3 linked regions of the Stegostoma tigrinum genome follow. The protein of the gene in region 2 interacts with the protein of the main gene of each other region in a pairwise test. Links are inferred from orthologs where the notes say so. Each region holds a gene or a part of one and is shown on either strand. Other genes may lie near its edges. The genes, in order: ras-related protein Rab-39B, RUN and FYVE domain-containing protein 1-like and utp25.

Region 1 (6,948 bases), on a different chromosome or scaffold from region 2:
TGGAACCCAGTTCCAATAATGTCCTGTCTGGATTGCTGAACCTCATGCAGAAGGTGATATCCCATCGGCTCAATGTCTTCATCTTCCACCTTGGAAGACTCTCCTCCTGTCCTAAGTCTTCAGCGCCTATCTCAGCCCCTTTTAGCCTGCTCCCAGTTGTGTGCTGAACAGCATTCAAGGATTATGTGGCACACTCTGTCTGAACTATGCTGCAAGGCTCAACTCATACAGATTCACACATCAGGACCTCATCTTCACAAGATCTATCATTTGCTCCATGATGGCCCTGGTCAAAGAATGGGCAGCACTGTATCTATGCGCAGCCTCAGTAAAGGAGTTCCATAAAATAGTCATCAGCCACGGTTGCAGAGAGTAACCCTTGTCTTTCAGTAACCATTCAAAAAGCATCCAGCTCATAATGGTTAAACACATTCAGCCATGCAGCATGACATAGAAGGCTCTGACAAGGAGGACCATGAAATGTATCCACATTGGCCTCTGACACAAAGACCTTATTTCAACGAATGCAGCACATGTCATGTCATGTAATCATGGCAATGGATTGAAAATGTTGTCTGATTACTGATAGCCTGTCCACTCACCCTCTCAGATCATCTAAGAAAGGCATTAATACCTACAACAGCATGTTGGCGAATACTTACAGTTTAAGGTGAAAGAAAATTAGTCCTTTGCCTTTGAGCAGCCTAAGTGATATTATATTCTGGTTACAATTTGCAGTCCACCACTGCCACTTTTTGATCGCCTGTGATTGCTTCTACTTCCCAGAGAAGAGTATAATTAATCTGCAATGACCAATGATATGGTTACGATTGTTTGTGCCAGGATTTGTACCCCATACAACCTGATTACTGATGACACCAATCTGTACAGGGTAAGTGCCTGATTAATGCAATTATCCTTTGAAGGGTCTCACATTGCTCACAGAGTCCAGAAGCTCAGACAGGGGAAAAAATACCTACTCCACCCGTTATGGGTGTGGTCACAGCCCTTTTCCACTTCCAGAACATTTGTGAATTGTATTAGACTCAGGCCATGTTTGGCATAGGAAGTTGCAGTTTTAACCAAGAAAACCAGGAAACCCCCAAACTTCCATGTTCCTTTCTTCCTGTAACAGTCTGTTGAGCCCATCGGTTTTAGTCTTCTATACATTCCTACACACCTTATTGCCTTCACCTCCTAACAATACCCATGTGTCCCAGCCATACATCTTAGCACACTATGCTGTGCTGCACCCCACCTTGGTCAAAGACATCACTGATGGAGGGTCACCACCACCTCACTGAGCTGACCCCAGGCTAATTGTGACCCACTCTTCCAGAATGAATTGGACCAACAGTCCTGGCTAATCACTGACCAGACCCCTGGCTGATAGTTATCTCTCCACCTGACCTACTGCGACTCCTTGGATTTGTCGCATTCCACCTACAGGCCCATTCATTAGACTGTAATGATACAGACCCCCATGCCCCTAACCACTCCACGTAGCTAATTAACCATGTCCAAACCCCTAGACTGATATCAAATGCTGCCCAAGACTTACTGTAATGGGATCCCTGACTGAACGCTGTCTCCCTCAGCCCGATTGAGGACTTTACCCTGACTTTGAGAAATGGCTATTTGCTTTGTTATCTGTGTATGCTGCTGACGCATGGTTCATGTGTGAGACTGACATAGCACATTGTCTGACAGCAACACATACAACTCCTTGGCTAGTGACTGTTGACAGCACTAAATAACGAGGCAGGACAGAAGTACTATGAACGTTTAAGCTCTGGCAGATGGGACAAAGCACAAAAAGACAAGGCAAGGCATGGCTGAGATGCTGTGAGCATTCAAGTAAGCTCAAAGTGAGTGAATGCTAAGAGAGAAAGCGAACAGGTCTGAGGTGCACTTGGACCAATTCTTGAGTTAGATGTCTCTCCCTGCTTGAAAAGTGCCCTTGCAGTGGCATTACAATGACAGGTATATTGTAAGTGAATCAGAGAATGAGTCATGAGTGTGCGTTGATACTGCTGAATGTCCAGTGGTGACCTTTGTGAATGGGGGTATGTGGGCAGTTATGCTTCTGGACCATTCTCTAAGCTGATGGGGACTGCTGCTTAAGATGGTGGCCCAAGCAGCGAGCTGGTATAGCCAGATTTCCAGTCTGACTTTCATGCAGAGAATCATTGCCATCTACGTTCTATTTGGTGGTGGGAAACTGCACATCAATGAGTGAGGATGAGTTTAAAGGGGCAAGCTAATACATGCGAATGGCTACAAATACATTTCTGGCCGCTCACAAGCAAAATTCTCAGTTCACCATTCAAAACTTGGTTGGGGAATCAAACTTTTTCTTTATGTTGAGAATGTAATTTCTGCTGATCTCACCTTATTTTTCCAACTGACTCACTAATGCCCACATTGTTTAGAAGTTGGGAAGATTATGCCCTGTATTCCTGTCTATGTTAGACAGTTAGGAAAAGCACAGATCCGAAGATAGGTAGGGCACAGATTGGGGTTTGGACAAGGGCCCTTGTTGCTGTTTGTTTGCCAGAACCAACTGAGCTGTCTAAAGGACTGGAAAAACAAATCCTCTAAGATTCAATAGCATCATTGGGCTCTCCTGGCCCCAGTGGGAGAGGATTTGTTGAACCACCTTGTTGTTATTAACTTTTTTTTTATTCATGGGATGTGGGCATTGCTTTGCTCATCTCTAAGTGCTCTTGAAGTCTGGGGATTTCAGATAGAATACCGTTACAGGGAGATTGTGACTCAAATCCAAAATAACTGAGTGGAAAGCAGGAGATCCTACATGGGGAATGTAGACGTGGAAAGGTTAAGATTGCATGTGGTTCCAGATTTTTGTGGGAAACGATGTGAGTGCTTGTAAATGCATAAGACAGTTGTAAGTGACACTGAAAATGAAATGTATTTATTTAAAATATCCCTTGTTTGATAACTAATGTTTGAATAATATTGATTTTAGTTGGTTTGTTACAGTAAAACGGTTTAAAAATTATATCTTGCCCAGCAACTTTCTTTCTATTGGCTCTGTGATGATTCCTTCTCTTTTAAAATTACCAGTCTGTACGCTAACACTTGCCTAATCACAGCCTCTGATCCACTGCAATAGTCCCGTTATTCATAACTAGTTTGCTCCTACACATTATTTACGTGCCTGGTCCAGTTGAGTTTCTGATCAATGATAGCCATGCACGATATTAATGGTGGGGGATTTGATTCTTGAATGTGTTAAGGGAGAGGTTAGAGATTGACAATTTAAAATTATACCCCTATTCTGATGGGGAAATGGTTTCAAATTATTTGACCGTCCTAAATTGCTCTAAGCCTGATGCTCCAGGTGTCAGGACAGGCTTCTGTGTACTGTAGCCTCCACTCTTGCCTCTTGCAAGTTAACCTTGCTCCCACCCCATATAGGTGCAGACAGATATAGAGAGAAAAGTGGCAAATGCTGTAATTGTGAAATGAAATGCAGAATATTTTGGAAGTGCCACAAACATTTGTGATAATATTTGAAAGAGAAAATATAGACATGCGTGTCAGACATGACATGACCATGCTCCTGTATTAAAGGTTCTTACCTGAGACATTAATTGAATATCTTGTCAAGAATTTAAACATATTTACCTATGTGTGCAGATAATCCGCACAGAAGTATTATTGACAATTTGTATTCTGTGGAAAACTTGCTTTTATAAACTGAAATTTTCTTCATTGTCAATGCTTCTTAAAATGTTCTCAAAACCATACAATTCTCAAAGCAGCTTTGAAATGAGCACGCAGACCATTGCTTGTTAAATACATGCACAGTGCACTAGCACACCCTGCTTGCAATGGACTGGTTGTTGCAAGATGGGGGGGCGGGGCGGTCTGTGTTGTTGATGGTGCTGATGTTGCAGTGATTTCATCAGCTTTCGCCCAGGGCTGCAACCTGCTAAAAACAGGTTGTGATTCCTGTGTCAGTGAGCAGGAAAGGGAGGAAAGGCTGCAAACCTATCCCCGGGGAAATCGAAGCCCTATCTTCCACACAACCCCGGTTGCCATCATCTTCTCAGTCTCGGGAGTCCCGGCTTTTCGGCCTGTTCGCCATTTAATTTTTTGATATTTGAAAACGTTGTGTTTTGTTTTCTCTTCCTCTCTCTCTTTCTGCGGCTCCCGGAGTGAGGAAACGCTACCGGCATCGCTTCCATTGCAGTTGAGAGTAAGCTTACGTTAAATGTTAGTCTTTACATTAAAATATACAATTTTTTTTGCAAAATCGCTTTTGCTGCTAGGACTTGCAATGTTTAATGTATATTCAAACGTGTTGATAAAAAATAGCCACCCGTGAAATGATGTTTAATGTTTAGCTTACAGAAGTGTTGTAATTGCAATTAAATTTCTTGTTTCTTCAAAGAAGCTCTGTTCTCCCTGACAGAGGGAGCGATGGGAGCGACCTTGGCTGGAACAAATAACCACTCTTTGGAAACTGGGATTTTGGCCAGGGCTTAACCCCAGCGAGCTCTGTCTGTCTGTTTATCGCCAATTCTTGCTTACGAAGCGAGCCGTGCAATAGTCCATTTAATTCTTCAAATTACCTGAATGTGACTGAACTGCTCCCTCTCCCTTCCCCCTTTCATCCCCGATGATTCTGACAACTCGCTGTCGCATGTATGTCTTTCTCCTGGTCGATATTGAGCAAGATTTAAAGATGGAGACTGCATGAGGATCATCCGAGGTGTGACACAGTGAGAGCTGCAAGCCTGGGAATCCTTCACGTTTGCCTGCAGACACATTAATAGTAGCGAGAAACACTGTCTACCACCGGGTGCCCTGGCCTTTTGGAAATACTGGAAGCTTCTCCAAACGGGGATATTCTGGCGATGTGGGGACACTGAAGAAGGAATGGACTGATCCTTGGAAGGAAACATCCTTTTGTGACTGCAAATGCTGCTTTTTGAATGGCCGATCATGGTAACCTGCCTATAAAAGGAGGAATCTGAGACTCAGCAGGACAGAGATTTCTGTTTTTGTCTGTGTGCTAGACCTGGTTGATGTGTAACCAACCCCAATAAGCTGGGCTCACTGGGATACTGCTGAAAGACTCACCGCACTTGGGCCACAATACTTATACATTTTGGCCAGTTTATCACAATACCTGGGGAGATGGAGGCTATCTGGGTCTATCAGTTCAGGTTGATAGTCATTGGGGACTCCACGGTGGGGAAGTCGTGCCTGATCCGTCGTTTCACCGAGGGAAGGTTTGCCCAAGTGTCGGACCCCACGGTTGGCGTGGACTTCTTCTCGAGGCTGGTAGAGATTGAGCCAGGAAAACGGATTAAGTTGCAGATCTGGGACACAGCTGGTCAGGAGCGATTCAGGTAAGTCTTAGTCTCTAGTATGTCTCAGGTAAACCTTAACAGGAATTATATCGGACCGTAATCGTGTGTCTTATTGGGAAAAACCAATATTCTTGCAAATATGTAATAGTTCTGTCTTCTTCTGTTTTGTGTGTTCAAATTGATAGCAGCAGACATTTTATGTAGAAGGCCCCTTGTGTGATATCATGAGTTTCCACACCCATGATGCACAAATGGAGTTTGCGGTAAACATTTCCATTCATTCTCATTGAAATCAGAGCAGAGATTATCAAATTTGATAATTACTTGATAATTATCAAATTTTATGTGTGATGAATCCCTCCAAATATTGAAAGGATCTCAGAACCCTTTGCAAAATATTGACGTCTCATTATAATACCCCTGCAAATATTGACACATTCCCCATTCTCTGAAAATGTTGCACATTTGCCTGGCAAATATTGTTGCATTCCCAGCACCTCTACTGACATTGACATGTCACCAGCACCTTGAATGTGTTGCCAGGCTACAAGGTTTTCCTGATTCTTGAGATGATAAGGTTGTTGTTTGCCAAGCCTTGGTGGGGGAGGGGTAGATGCAGAGAAATGGGTCTCAGTCTCTGTATATGGAATAGGCCATTTAAGACTGAGATTAAGAAAAAAAAGATTCAATCAGTGGTATCAGAACTATGGAATTCTCTGCCACAAATGGCTGTGGAAGCCAAGTCACGGTAACAGATGGAACTACAGGCACCAAAGGTATCAAGGAGTATGGGGAGAGTGTGGGAGTGTGACATTGAGTTAGAGGACCATGTTAAATAGCAAAGCAGGCTTGATGAACCTAATAGCATACTCCTGTTCCTATCTGCCTGTGTTTCTGCACTGATATATTACCAGCATTTGTTACAAATATTCACACAATCCCACGCATCTCTTCCAAATATCAACATGCTTGCAGCATTCCCTGCAAATGTTGACACACTCCCAAGATCCGCAGTCTTATTTTTTTGATAGCTATTGCCAGTTGTTGAATGTGTTGTCGTGCCAACCATTACCAGCTTGGTCAAGGTAGTTTGCTACCATCTCGTGAGTATGAACAAGAAGCTACTCTGTTCTTAAACAGAGTTTAAGTTTACAGCATGCTAGTAATTGGGTACATTACATTAGTGAGAAAGATATTGTTCTTAAGACTATGTGGAGACCTGCGGTATAAATCTTACTGAACCAGATCCTAAGCTGTTCTGTCTTTCCCTGCTCAGGTCCCTATGATATCATCTCACTCGGTGGAGCTTAATACAGTCTCCTGTATCAGCCTTTTCAAAACCATTACCTGATACAACATCAGCCATCCAAAAGAATTTGTTACTATCATGGCAGAAAGCCTATTTTGTTAGTACACAGCAATATAAATAATGACGGTTAACAAAGAGAGAAAGCAAAGATGATAACAATTCTCTCCGGCCTCCCTGTTTGTAGTTTGTCCAGATTTAGACAGACAAAAGTCTAGGGATCTAAGGACCCCGTTTAAAACCCAAAAACTTTGTTCAGATATTTTGTGTTGCATTCTTCTTGATGTGACACCACAA
Region 2 (7,283 bases):
TACACAAGTTAAAATAGAAAAAAGAAAGAAATACAACTCTATTGGAAGACTTAACAGGACAATAAGATTATTCAATTCCTAAACAGGAATTGTTCCAAGAGCAACATCTCAAAACAAACCCTTGGCAAAGGTAAATTCAGTAAAATAGATTGCCTCACATGTAACTCTCTTGTCTCGGAGGAAAAACAAACGAAAACTCAGTAGCAGGGACAGATATACTGCAGCTTCCAAACCCAGCTTCAAGATCCCAGCAACTGTTACTGAAAAACTAAATCTAAAAATCCTGTTCTGTCGGAGCTTGAAAATTTTAGGTTCTAAGCCATCTTCTTATGATGTTTTGAGGGGGTTTGGTCTGGTCTGTAACACCAGGTCATGGTGATAGATTTTTTTTCCTGTCACTAATGGGGATCAAACTTAATAAGGGACAAGTCTTGGATAGATGGTTGGCACTTAAACTTAAGGCACCATGGCTAGATGAATCGCAACCAAGAATTCTTGAAGTAAAATGATGGTAAAAATACAGCCGACACTGGCCGTAATATTTCAGTTTTCCTTTGACCTCTGGCACCAGGATCTTTTGCTGCGATGATCCTTAAGATTATTTTGCTGGCCAGCATGTTGCTTCAGTCATTTTTTTGCCTCTGGTTGATAACATTGAAGCTGCTTCCATTGTTCCAATTTTTAAAAACCTCAGGTCTCATAAGCTGTTTACTTTATTGGATTTAAACAGACAGCCTGTCACCACCGTCTTAACATGTTTTCATACGAAGAAAAATCCAGTCAAAATACACCTCTTAAAGCGTAGTACCATCACAATGAGTAGCCTTTTTGGTAAAGACAGATGCAAAGTATTTATTTAGTACCACAGCCATGCCCCATGCCTCTAATTGCAAATCATCTTTTTGGTCTCAGATGAGTCCTACTACTCCATTAGCCACTCTCTTGCTATTTATAGGTCTTTACAAGACTTTAGGATTTCCCTTTATGTTAACTGCTAGTCTTTTTTTCATAGTTCTGCTTTGCTTTTCTACTTCCTCCACCAAACAGGACGGCGTCTAACAGCTACAACATTATGAACAATGCATTTCTAATGTAACAATAATTTCAATCCACTTCGAAAGTATTATAGAGCAAACTATGTTGTCAACAAATAGGGTAATTTCAGGGCAGATATCCAGAAGCTTGGTCATAGAGGCAAATATGAATTCATTTCTTAAAAGGAGGAAGGAGTTACAAAGCTGAAGATGTTTACAATGGGAACTCCAGAGTTTGGGGCCTCAGGAGCTGAGGGCACAGCTACCTATTAGGGAATGATTAAAATCAGGGGGATGCTCAAAGGCAAGCATCAGAGTCAGATATCTGAAAGGTTGTGGGCTGCAGAGGATTAGAGATTGGAAAGGTGTGCCCATGGAGGAATTGAAAAAGGATGAGAATTTTAAAATCAAGGGATCATTTACACCAGGAGTCAATGCAAGTCATATGGTGAATACACCTGATCACGCACAGAGGTTTGAATGCTGTCATGATCTTAAGAGTAGCCTACAAGCTGTCAGTCAGAAGTCAACTGGAATATCAAGTCACAATAACAAAAAAGGTATGCATAAAGGATTTGGCTAATTAGCTGAAGCAGGACAGGGTTGGGTTATGTTGCAGAAGTGGAAATAGGCTCTCTCAAAGTATGGGCAAAATATGACCAGCCAGGCAAAGTCCTTAAATAGGGAACAGTTTGCAACTGGAAACCAGAGGCCATGGCTTCTTTGTGCAAGCTTAACCAGAGAAAACTACTAATTCAATATTTTATGTCCAACAAATAGGCTAACATTTTAGCATCAGTGGGATAAGCAAAAACAGGTAATGACAAGGTAGAGATGGACGCCATCATCATACACATCAAAAATGACTGCTTTTGGATAATGTCACAGTTGGGTACCCTGGTGAGAAACAAGAGAAGGAAGCCAACAATAAATCCATCAGACATGCCTGTTGAGATGCAGGGTTCAGGCAGCACAGTCACAAGCTCAAGTTCCAGACCAGATGCAAAGGTAAAGTTGATACAGTACTAGCAGACTACAAGACTGCTCTCTCATTAGAGAACTGGCAGTGGTTTAACCCCATGGGTCACCATACCTCAAAACAAGGGGAAAAGTTGAGATGGAAAGTTGTTGATGGAACTGAACCCACTACACCAACAACTAACTGAGATGCCAAAAGAACCAGGGTTAAATCCCAATTGCCACAAGAGGTATGTGACAACATATCTGAACAGGCTTTAAAGTAAGTTGAAGCTGCTGCAGGCAGAACAGTTAGCCAACAATAGACAGGCACCGCAGTAAAATGACATGTCAACCGATCACCTCGCAGACAGGTCAAGAAGGTAAACGTTATGTTAAAATGACTGTAACAATCGCAAAAGCGGGCTGGTGAAGCCTCCAAGCTCTTCAGTAGCTGTATTTCAAAACGATTAGCAAAACCCCAACTCTTTTGCAATGAGGGGATCCGGCCGGGATCAGTACTCGCCACCGACCATAAACCTCCCACTCACCCCACACCTCTTGCACCCGCGCGCTCCCTGGTCCCACACTTCGCCAACAGCATGGCGCGTCCCCGAGCCTCGCGCCCCGCTACCCCTTGCCAGCTCTGCCCGTTCCCCAAGGCTCGCGCCTAATTGGCCCCGCCTCTCGGGCTCGGGCCCGCGCTCGTGCCCCCCCCCCACCCCATTCCAAAACCTACTTTTAGTCATCGTGTTGTCGCTGCTGCTTGCTTTGACCGCGAATCCCACCGCCGCTGATTTCAAAGCGCTCCCGTAGTTCGCCGATAGGGTCTCTGACGCTTTCCTGGCGAGTGACAGTATGGGGGTCGACCAGCCACCATCCTCCAAGCCTCGAACGCTTGCGACAGGTGACGAAGGCGATCCAGTCTTGTGGTCTGCCTCAGCCGCGGCGCTACTCAAATCCTCGGTTTGGTCCGCCATCTTCCCTCGTGACACAGGCGTACGCAATCACTCGCCGAGAAACAGAGCGAGAGTCACGTAGCTGAAGACGGTTAATCCTTGAGAAATTAACCAGCAGGCGGCGGCTGCGCAGGCGCACTAAGTTTTTTTTCCAAACCTGTCGTCAGTTGTTGTGTTATGACATTTCTAATGTACAATCCGGGAACTAGGCTCATCCCAGAGCAGAGGAAATGTGCCTTCGTATAAAGCTCCATCTTTCATACTGGCTGGTGAGCTAGCCGGAATCCCGCCTGTAGGAGTCAATAGAACAGTGGCCCATTCAGCCCGTCGAGCCAACCCTATCGTTTAATGCGATCGTGACCCATCCAATATTTCAATGACTTTTATTCAACCCATCCCCATGACTGTTTAAACCACCGTGATATATCAATTCTGCAATGATTGCAGCATAGTGACACAGTGCCGGGGTCCTGGCTTTGATTCCAGTCTAGGGAAACTGTGTTGAGTTTGCACATTCTCCTTATGACTCCGTGGATTTCCTCCCGTGCTCCGTTATTTTGTGAGGTTCAAGGGGATTACCTCATTCTGTGAAACTTTAAACAATATCGGGCCACTTTGCCCAAACTTTAATCGCAGAATCGTCGCATCATTCCTGGAGCAAATTTAGTGAACCTTTGTGCACTCCATGACTCTGATATAATTTCTGAGATAACGAGACCAAAGACTGCACACATAATCCAAGTATGGTTTAAGCAAGATCATATACAATTGAAACCAGACTCCACTACTGTACTCAAATCTGCTCGCAAGAAGGACTAACAGTTCATTACCCTTCCTAATGTCTTACTGCACCCACATGTTAATCTTCAGGGACTTATCAGCAAGGACACCTAGGGTCCTTTTTATATGTACATTTTCCAACGTCTTGCCATTTAATTAGTATGAGATTCAATTCAAGTAAGTATGAGGTGATGCACTTTGGCAGGAATAACATGGTGAGGGAATACACAATGAATGGTAGGATCCTGGGAAGTCTCAAGTATCAGAAGGACCTTGCTTTGCATGACTGCTGGTCCCTTAAGGTCGTGGGACAGTAAGATAAAGTGGTTGAGAACGTATATGGGATACCTAGTTTGATTCCCTCATTTAACTAAGTCTGCAGATTTTGAACTGTTTCTTTGATTCCATACCCCTTCCCAGTTTGGTATCACCACAAATTGGACCAATCAGTATTAACTCTTTAATATAGCATTAATACATTAATGTCCTCAGGGATCCTGCACAATGATTTCCCTCCTATTCTTAACATTACCTCTCTGACCAGTACCCCTTAAGCAAGTTTCTTAATTCCTACTGTTTACTGCTTAATAAGAAATCTTTTGTTTGACATGTTATCAAATGTTTTTTGGAAGTCTTAGAACAAATATGGTTCAGGATTAACACAGTTTTAAAAGTTAAGGAAAGACATACAATGATGTCACAAAGAATCTCAAGCAATTATTTTTGAAGCATTGTTACTGATATTATGTCAGTGGTAGAAATGCAAGCCCCTTTAAGCATCAAACAGAACCTTTCAGAGTTGTTGGAGAACAGATGATGCTAATTTTAGTACTGACTTCTTCTCCACTAGGTGGAAGGATTCTTGCAGCGCAGTGGTAATATCTCTATCTCTGAGTCAAGTCCCACCTGCTCCAGACATGTGTAATAACATTTCTGAACAGGTTAATGAAGGAAAAAAGTATCTTCTCCAGTAGGGCGTTAACTTCTGGATAGGGACCAGAAGAGTAAGTTGAAAACTTCTGTTGGTGCTAAAATATAGATGAAGAAACACATTGCAAATCTCTGAAAGCGTTGCACTGCCTGATTTAACATATCAATACTGTTCTGTTAAATAGTAACACAACCAAATCCAGTCAGCAGTTTGTAATGCCAATATTCCACAAACAGCCATGAGGTAAGTTAGAAGAATTAGTTTTATGTCACATGTACTCACATGAGTACAGTGAAAAGTTTATAAGTCGCCCTACTTATGGTGCCATCTTAAGTACAAATGTAACTAGAAACACAATCTTTGGTACAAATTCTTAGGGGAAAAAAATAGAAAAATAACGAAATAAAAAGTTCAGCTTTACAGATCTTAGTGCCATCTCAGATGCAAAAGTACAAGATTGTCAGAATAAATTAGAAAAATAAATAAATAAATAAAACATTCAGAATAACAGTCTTTCGGAATAACCAGACAATCTGATGTAGTAAGATAATAAAGTGTGAAGCTGGATGAACACAGCAGGCCAAGCAGCATCTCAGGAGCTCCAGCTTCACACTTTATTATCTTGGATTCTCCAGCATCTGCAGTTCCCATTATCATTAATCTGATGTAGTAATATTACTTTAGGGCTAAATGTTTGGACAGACTACCAGAGTAAAATCCCATGCTTTTTTTCCAAAAATAGTTCCATGATACACTTTTGCAACCTTAAGGGCAGCCATTTTAAGTTTTCATCTGAAATTTGGAATTTCTTCAGTATGTCACTAGATTATATGCCAAGATGTTACTGGCATATGTTCAAATCTGAAGTGAGGTTCGAACCCACCGCCTCTTTTGCTTCCCAGATTGTCACATGCTCAAAGATATCAAGGAAATCAGTAAAATAGGATCTTCCCTCTTAAAAGCTAAGTTAACACTGTCCATTCACACCTATATGGTTGCAGTACGTACCACCTACAGCAAGCAATGCAAGAACTCACTAAGACCTATTTGGTGATAATAAAATGTGAGGCTGGATGAACACAGCAGGCCAAGCAGCATCTCAGGAGCACAAAAGCTGACGTTTCGGGCCTAGACCCTTCATCAGAGAGGAAGGGTCTAGGCCCGAAACGTCAGCTTTTGTGCTCCTGAGATGCTGCTTGGCCTGCTGTGTTCAACCAGCCTCACATTTTATTATCTTGGAATTCTCCAGCATCTGCAGTTCCCATTATCTCCAAGACCTATTTGCTGTCTTCTGAACCTGCAACCTCTACCACCCAGAAGGACAAGGACAGCAACCGCATGGGAACACCATTATCTCTTAGTGACATACCATCCTAGCATAAGCATTAATCACTGTCCCATTGTTGCCATTGTGTCAAAATCCTGGAGCTCGTTACCCAATAGCATTGTGGGAGCACCTTCACCAGACATAGTGCAACATTTCAAGAAGCAAGCTTTCCATTATTTTCTCAGGTAACTAAGAAGAGACAAGAATGTATGCAGCTGAAATCAAAAGATTTGCTCCCGATAATCAATCCATTATTGTGCATCAGCGTTGTCTAAGGTTAATGTATCCTTAATCATCTAATTATTTTGCCAATTTTTGAAAATATGGTTTTATTAGCTGACCACCAATCAACAGATAATTTTCCCAGTGTACTTTAGACTCCCTAATGAATGTCAATGCAATTTAAATGTGCATGTTTATCTTTCTGAACACTGTAGATCAATACTGTTTAATATTGGGCAGTTATCTGCTTTAATTCTTTATAGCCTGTCTAGACTTCAGAAACATTTATGTCAAAGTTGAAGTTTTTTGCTGAAGTTATGTTGTTCATAATTTCTTCACATTAATCATTCAGAATATTTACTATCTGTTGCTCAACATGAGTTCAATTTTTGTGCATCTTCTAATAATTCCCATTTCTTCTCTTAGAGTCCCTTGATGTATCAATATGGCAAGTGTGAAGACTTTTTATTTTTATTTTTCTGTACTTCTCATTACTGGCTGAAATAGGAAAGGAACTGTTTTTAAAAGACTAGGGTTGTTGAAGAATGACTGCCCTTTATAAAGAGCAAATAAGCTGACACTCGTTATAAGTACACATTCGCTCGTTCAAGCAGTAATGGAAGCCTGGATTTCCAATGAGTTTGACCAAAGGGTTGTGTACGAATGGAGCATTGACTGGCAACAAGTAGCTGATTGGACTGTGGTCGAATGACCAGTTATTGAAGACAAATCCTTTCCCCTACAAACAACTATGTAATTGGCTTCCGAATAGCTGAACAGCTTGGGTTTTGAGTGTTTTGGCAGAAACCATCAGACTTCTGGAAGTGCAGGCTCTGTTTATGTTGTACAGTAAAAGTTGCCTTCAGCCTGGAAAAAATCCAGTTCTTTAATTCCTCTCAGCAGTTACTGTAACCTGTGACCTTAGGCAGTAATCCAGAGACTTTATAAGTGTGACTCTCTGCCTTCCACAAGCAAGTGAAAGTGTCTGGAAAAGCAGGAACATGGAGCAGTACATCCTGACAAGTCACAAGGATCATCTCAGCAGACACTGCTAACAGGATCACAGAACTACC
Region 3 (6,936 bases), on a different chromosome or scaffold from region 2:
GGGACGGGTCTGGGTGGGAAGCTCTGAGCGGTGGTGTGGACTTGTTGGGCCGAAGGGCCTGTTTCCACCTTGTAGGGATTCTATGAAATGCAGATTGGTTCCATAACTACAACTAAATTGTAGTTCAAGTCCAGATGCTAATGCTATGAATTTACACCAGTGATGTAATCATTTCAAGTCAATCACAAAGTATTCCACAATATTTTGTTGAATCAGACTTGGTTCCAGTTGAGTGCTTGAAAATTACTTTTATATGACTTCTGAACCCGTCTTGTACTGAGGTGTTTTAAAAATGTATTGCAAATGGATCTTTATCCTATTTTACATAATCATCCGCTATTATATCAAATAATCCAAAGCCATACATCCCTACTTTGGCTTATCTAAACTTGTTCCCTCTACCAGTCTGTTCATCAAAATCTATCTGTAAATCAAAACACAGGAAAAAAAAATCAAGTTGCCTTGCTTAATATGTTATCAATGCTATCAAATTCCCAACCGAGCCTCATTACAAGACCATACTGTTTCTGGCATTAGATGATGAGAGCTGTCCAGCTTTTGACCAAACCACCTCTTTCACTTCCATGATCAATAGTCTAAATCTGGCTCTGAGTTAGGATCCCATCTCTCAAAACTACGAACAATATTCACTAAACAAATACTCTACTCTCCACACTCCATATTCTCAACTGCTGCTGTTTGTTTCCTTTCTCAAGTCTTGGATCAACACTGTGGTGTTGCCACTGTCTTCCCAACTTCATCACCATTTCCTGCTCAAACTCTGTTTTATTTTTATCAATACAAAGATACTTGGTAAAGTCACCAACAACCTTTGTGAACGTGACCAACGTTGAGTACATTTCCTCAACCCCAACCCTACCATCAGTGTGGTGAACTACTCTGCTGTATTGTTATTCTCCAAAGTTCATGTCAGTGGCACCACTCTTGGCTGGTCCAATTCCTTATTACAACAGATATTCTATTGCCTCGACTGACATCTATTCCTGGAGTTTCCTGACATGACGAGCTTGACTTTTTCCTCATCATATACAGGCTATTGCATTATTCGATCAGAAGAATGGGATTATCTTTTACATCTGCAACGTGTGCACATCACTTGTCTGATTCCTACTCCTCCAATGCAACATGATTGAAGACAAGATAGATGGAGTGATTTTTTGACAATATAGGCAGTTTAATGTTTGACAAACTGCAGCTGATGAATGGTGATACTAAGAAAGCAGAGAAGAGACGTTTAAATAACAATATCTAATAGTGAGATATCACAGATAAGAATTTCAATGGGACTACAGGAGGGATAGACAATACTGCAAAGGTGGAAAGAAGTGGTCATAGATGTTGATAGCATGAGCATTTGAAGCTTATCTTTTAAGTCAAATATCTGACGAGTTCTACACCCCATAACTGACAACATTGAAAAGCCGTAGGTAATAAGTACTGCCTTTAATTTTCAGCACCGACACTGGAGTACCAAACAGTGTTTTTTTAAATGAGGAACTGTCTCAAAGGTGTCAGCTTTCAGATGATAAGTCTAGTCTGCCTTCTCATTGGATAAAGATGAAAAGGCAGTATTGGTAGAGCAAGGGTTCACCCAGTTTCTTAGCCAATGTTTGTACTCCAATTAATATAATTTATCTATGCATTTATTTCAGTGCAATCTTTGGGAATCTTGTCTTGCACAAGAATCTTGGCTTTCACATTTTCCTACATAACAGCAGCAGCATTTCAGAAAGTTTCAAACCAGCTGTAAGGTCTTTGTAGGTGTTATTTAATTCAAATTCTTTCAACAGAGAAGGATGGCATGATGTGGCCACTACTAAATGCGGTGAATGCAATGAAAAATCATCAAAAAAAAAAAAAATCATTCTTGATTTTAGTAATTGTAGTCTTGAAACCTGCAAACATTAGCAGGATTGTCAGGATTCACAATGTGCTATAGGGCATAGAGCTGATCAAGAACATATCTGAAAGTCTTTAAAAAGATTACAGGTGAGTGAGCTAGTTAAAGAAAATGAATAGTTTGAGGGTTTTTTAGAGGAATGGTTTTCATAATAGCCAGCAGAGTGTAATTCAACAAGCAAACTGTGCCATTAACAATGACAGATACTAAGATGGTTGGACAAAGTAATTTACTGTGGTTGGAAGTTAAATGTGGATGGAATTGAGGGAGCAGTAAATAGAAGACAAGTATAGAGGGAAGGCAAGCATAAGAGGGGATGCAAAAATATGGCAATGGGAGAAACTGTAATGTAACAGGATTTGTAAAGATAACAGGATGAGATGTCCATAAAAATTAATCTTAGAAACAGCTACATGCCATTTTCAAACAGAAACCAAGGAAGCCAAGCCTATCACACCTAGTTAACAAGGTGTAGAGCTGGATTTCGGACCCACACCCTTCATCAGTTCCTACAGCCTTCCTGCTCCTATGATGCTGCTTGACCTGCTGTGTTCATCCAGCTCTACACCTTGTTATCTCAGATTCTCCAGCATCTGCAGTTCCTACTATCTCTATCACACGTAGTGCCTGAAAATGAGATGTGGACGGGAGCAAAAGCTCATCACAAAGAAAAAGGACACAAGTATATAATTGGTTTTGAAAGATAACAGAAAAATGTTTAATGGAGTTACAATGCAAATTGAGTAAAACATGTCAATTGCCAATGAGAACAGGGTTTCTCAAACCGGGCAGTGAGACCCAATCCCAACCTCTCTCCCCATTGCTCACAGAGGAACCGTTAGCACAGTGCGGAAGAACTGCAGTAAAATTATTCCTAAAGGTTTGCAGAAAAAGTGAATCAATTGTAAAATGAAACTTTTAAAGTGCTCCTTCTGCACATGTCGTCTACTTACACAGGACGATCAACTATCGTTCGGGTCGAGTGAGGGAGATAATTACATGAAATTCAGGGTCACACACAACAACCCTGAAAAATCCAGCGGCAGGTTATTGACAACAATCTGTTTATATTTTTCAATAGGTGAAAAGATAATTTCACGTACATCATGCTGCAGATATCCCAGGAATTCGGGAAATACTGTGTAGAAAACAGTGGCAGACAGGAGTCAGGATGAAGTCAACCAGGAGTGAGGGGAAAAAGGGAAATATATCTCACGACTAATGTCCGACCAACAAAAGGCTACAGAATGAAATAAACGGGTCTGTTAAAGCACGGGAACCCTATTCTCGGTTTTCCAGTTAAAGGAGTAATCTTTCAAATGAAGAATGTTTCACATTTCTAACAGCTATTAGAACAGACCCAGTCAGTACTCTTGTCAATGAGGAAGAAAAAGTTTGTCTCAAAAACCCCCGCCCCCTTCAAGACCGAGGCGAAGGTCGGTCAGTCAGTCAGTCAGGCAGGCTCAACATAAAATACAGGATTGAGAAGCCGTTTTCTCTGATGAAGGGTCTAGGCCCGAAACGTCAGCTTTTGTGCTCCTGAGATGCTGCTTAGCCTGCTGTGTTCATCCAGCTTCATGCTTTGTTATCCTGTCCTGGTTATCGTCCCCACGGCAACATCAAGAAAGAAAAGAGCTTTCCGAAGCATACTTGCCTCCATCGTGTTATTAAATTTCCCTCCAATCAAACCTCCCACGGTTTAAGTAAGGAATTTCATTCCTGCACAAAAAGCGCCCCATGACGCAAACCGAAACCAAAATGACAACTACACGACCGCTCAACCAAACCTAAAACAGGGCCTTCCCCTCTGATTGGCGTTTCGTTCACGATTTTTGTTGCCGCTCTGCCCTTCAGCCGAAGCACTTATTGAACGGCACCAGCGTCCGTCAAACTGCCTTTCAGTCTCATTGGGTGGAGCTGTACCGGTTAGCTTTCAGGTAGGACGGCTGAGCTAATAGTGAGAACCCGTATTGGGACGTGGCACCGAGTTGGTGTCCAATCGGAGAGCAGCAGGCGTGCGCGTGTTGTCGGGGGGAAATGGGGAAAAGAAAGAGTGGAAGAAAATCGCAGCGTTTTGGGAGTAACTTAACCAAGAAGCAGAAAAAACATCTGCGGGAATTCGGGGAGCAACATCCCTTTCACGATGAGTGAGTCTGTCTGCTTTAGAATCACCTTAAATTGGCCGTCGCTCCCAGTCTTGCACCCGTGTTTCGGTCTCATCATCCTGAAGTGTGGTGTTGGAATAATGTGAACAATTTTCGAAGTTTAAAGTCGAATTATACTGACATTGGAGGTAGTGCAGAGAAGGTTCATGAGACTAATCCTGGATGTAGTGGAGCGCTCTTATGAATATTGTGTGGGTTGGGCCTATACTCATTGTAGTTTGAAAGAATGAGAGGCAACTTTGGTGAAACACGTAAGATTCTTCAGGAACTTGACAGGGTAGATGTGGAAAGTTTGTTTACCCTTAGGGGCGAGTCTAGAACCAAGGGTATAGCCTCAGAATACGAGACCATACATTTAAGAACATGGGTTTAATAATTTTTTAAAAAGTGCAGGATTAAGCAATTCAGTCCCTAGAACCTTGCATCCATTGCTGTGTGGGATAGTGAATTCCACAAATTCTTGACCCTTTTGGGAGAAGTAATTCCTCTTCATCTATTTAAAATTTGCTAGTGGCAAGAGGGTTTCTTCTCTAAGGCTAGTGAATCTTTGTAATTCTTTACTGCAGAAGGCTGTGAGGGTAAAATCACCATTGTTCCAGAGAACCATAACACTGTTGTCTCAGTAGCGGTCTCCAAGCCTCAGGTCAAGTTGAGAAAGTGGGACCTTTTGTGGCAACTTCACCTGGAGCGAGCATTTAACCTGGCTGTTGAAGTCTTTTTCACAAACCGGCAGTCCAGGGACTGTCAAAGCTGTGACATTCAGTATATTCGAGGCTGAGGGAGACAGATTTCTAATCGGTGGGGAAATTGAGTGGGATAGGGAAAATACAGGAAAGTAGAGTTGGGGGTTATCAAGTTGGTCATGGTCTCATTAAATGGTGGAGCAGACTCGACGGGCTGAATGGTCTGCTTCTTCTCTGACATCATATACTGTGATCGGTTTGCTCTGAAATTCTTTGCCCATTGTGTAACTATCAGTATCTGTAGCCTCCATATGTCCTCTACATGACTTAGTTTTATGCTTTTTCTGTTATCTGCAAAATTGGCCATCTTACCTTCTGTTCCTTTAAACAGGTCATTTATGAAAATTGTAAACAATTGAAGTTCTTGCACTAATTTATATGGCACACCATTACATCTCACCAACCACGAAAAGATCCATCTTTGCCTACTCTCTGCCAATCTGCCACTCTATCCATGCCAATATACTACCCCATGTTGGAATAATGTGAACAATTTTCGAAGTTTAAAGTCGAATTATACTGACATCGGAGGAAAATAAAACATGATGTTTTATTTTCAACGGCAACATTTGATGTGGCAACTTCTGAAATACCCTCTAAAAATCAGAATGCTGAAAATTAATAACTTATAATTATTAGCATGCCTTTAACAACAGATTCTGATGTTTTCCCTATGGCAGACATTAAACTGATTGGCCTGTAGTTTTCTGTTTGTTGATTCCTCGTTTTGACTAAAGGAGAAACATTTATTATTTTGCAACCCACTACAATTGTATCTTGTTTTGGAAAAGAAAATTAAAATCAACATATTACCTATCGCAGTTGGAACTTATTTTGAGAACATAGAATAAAGACGTTGCCAATAGAGTGTGGAGCTGGAGGAACACAGCATGTCAGGCAGCATCAGAGGAACAGGAAAGTTGACGTTTCGGGTGTGCATCCTTCATAACCAGCCCTAACTTCCCCCCCAGCTCCACACTGTATTGACTGATTCCAACATCTACAGTTCTTGCTGTCTCCAAATAAAGATGCTTGTTAGTTTTCAATGCCAGCGATTTACTCAGTACTACTTGAGTGATTGTAATTTTCCTGAGTACCTCACACCCTTTTATTTTCTGATTTATTATTGCTTCTGGGATGTTGCTTTATATCTTTTATAGAGAAAATTATAAAATACCTGCTCAATTTGTCTGCCATCAGGCTATCTTGCAATTCTGTGTAATATTTGGGTATTATTTTGCAGGATTTTGGAAAAAGCAGCGCCAGTTCAGATTGTTGATCCGGTGAGTTTTGAATACTACTATTGTGGATTCTTTGTAGTATCTGGAGGTAACACTGTCTGGAAGACAGAATGCTTCATGTGTTAGTTAAACTTAATTTTAAAAATATTGAATTAAATGGCAGCTAGAAATGAACATCTCTGGAAATGTCTAGATAAAACACGCAATGTTTGATGGGTTGAGAGTGCAAGTTCTTTGCTGTGAAAGTTTGTAACAATGATGTAGGCACTGATGTTTATTTTAATAGTTTATTATGCTTAATGCTAGAAAAAAAGACATTTCACAGAGATAATTTAAGTAAACATTAAGTAAACATTACACCAAGACACAGATGACAGGTGTTAGACCCGTTTTCCAAAAATCAAAGGAGGTGCAAGGTTTATGAAAGAATTCCCAAGCATGGAAATGTAGATAGCTAAAGAAACAGCTAGTGTAGGTAGAGTGAAGAGAGTGGGAGAATGTCTGACTTTTCTGGACAGTGTCAGAAATTACACAATGCTATTTCAAAGTGACAGGAGGAAAGTTAATGGGAGATATGCGTGGAAAATTCTTTATGCAGAAGGTGGTGGGTGCCTGGAATGCATTGACAGTGGAGGTGGTAGATGCAAACATGATAGTCTCTTTAAAGATGTATCTGGACAGGTACATGGATGGGCAGAGAGCAAAGGGATACTGACCCTTAGAAAATAGATGACAGGTTTAGACAGAGGATCTCAATCGGTGCAGGCTTAGAGGGCTAAAGGGCCTGTTCCTGTGCTGTAATTTTCTTTGTTCTCTGTTCTTTTTAATCCAGCAGTTTTATTTGAAGTCACAAGCTTTTGGAGCCT

What was found.
Region 1: the proteins of RUN and FYVE domain-containing protein 1-like (region 2) and ras-related protein Rab-39B interact in binary tests that used the Homo sapiens proteins (3 or more experiments, as listed by UniProt). The two-hybrid records come from large-scale screens. The link is inferred for Stegostoma tigrinum from reciprocal best matches to the Homo sapiens genes RUFY1 and RAB39B.
Region 3: the proteins of RUN and FYVE domain-containing protein 1-like (region 2) and utp25 interact in binary tests that used the Homo sapiens proteins (3 or more experiments, as listed by UniProt). The link is inferred for Stegostoma tigrinum from reciprocal best matches to the Homo sapiens genes RUFY1 and UTP25.

The regions. Positions count from the first base shown.
Region 1 is NC_081368.1:35,313,750-35,320,697, forward strand, and holds the start of ras-related protein Rab-39B, read left to right. Parts: upstream 1-3,890; 5' UTR 3,891-4,225; exon of another isoform or gene 4,226-4,242; intron 4,243-4,420; exon of another isoform or gene 4,421-4,441; 5' UTR 4,442-5,169; coding exon 5,170-5,384; intron 5,385-6,948. UniProt on the Homo sapiens protein: The small GTPases Rab are key regulators of intracellular membrane trafficking, from the formation of transport vesicles to their fusion with membranes.
Region 2 is NC_081366.1:38,378,943-38,386,225, forward strand, and holds the start of RUN and FYVE domain-containing protein 1-like, read right to left. Parts: upstream 3,058-7,283; 5' UTR 2,972-3,057; coding exon 2,731-2,971; intron 2,656-2,730; exon of another isoform or gene 2,543-2,655; intron 1-2,542. UniProt on the Homo sapiens protein: Activating adapter involved in cargo sorting from early/recycling endosomes. Regulates retrieval of proteins from endosomes to the trans-Golgi network through interaction with the dynein-dynactin complex.
Region 3 is NC_081362.1:63,458,942-63,465,877, reverse strand, and holds the start of utp25 (U3 small nucleolar RNA-associated protein 25 homolog), read left to right. Parts: upstream 1-3,916; 5' UTR 3,917-3,958; coding exon 3,959-4,068; intron 4,069-6,072; coding exon 6,073-6,112; intron 6,113-6,936. UniProt on the Homo sapiens protein: Component of the ribosomal small subunit processome for the biogenesis of ribosomes, functions in pre-ribosomal RNA (pre-rRNA) processing. Essential for embryonic development in part through the regulation of p53 pathway.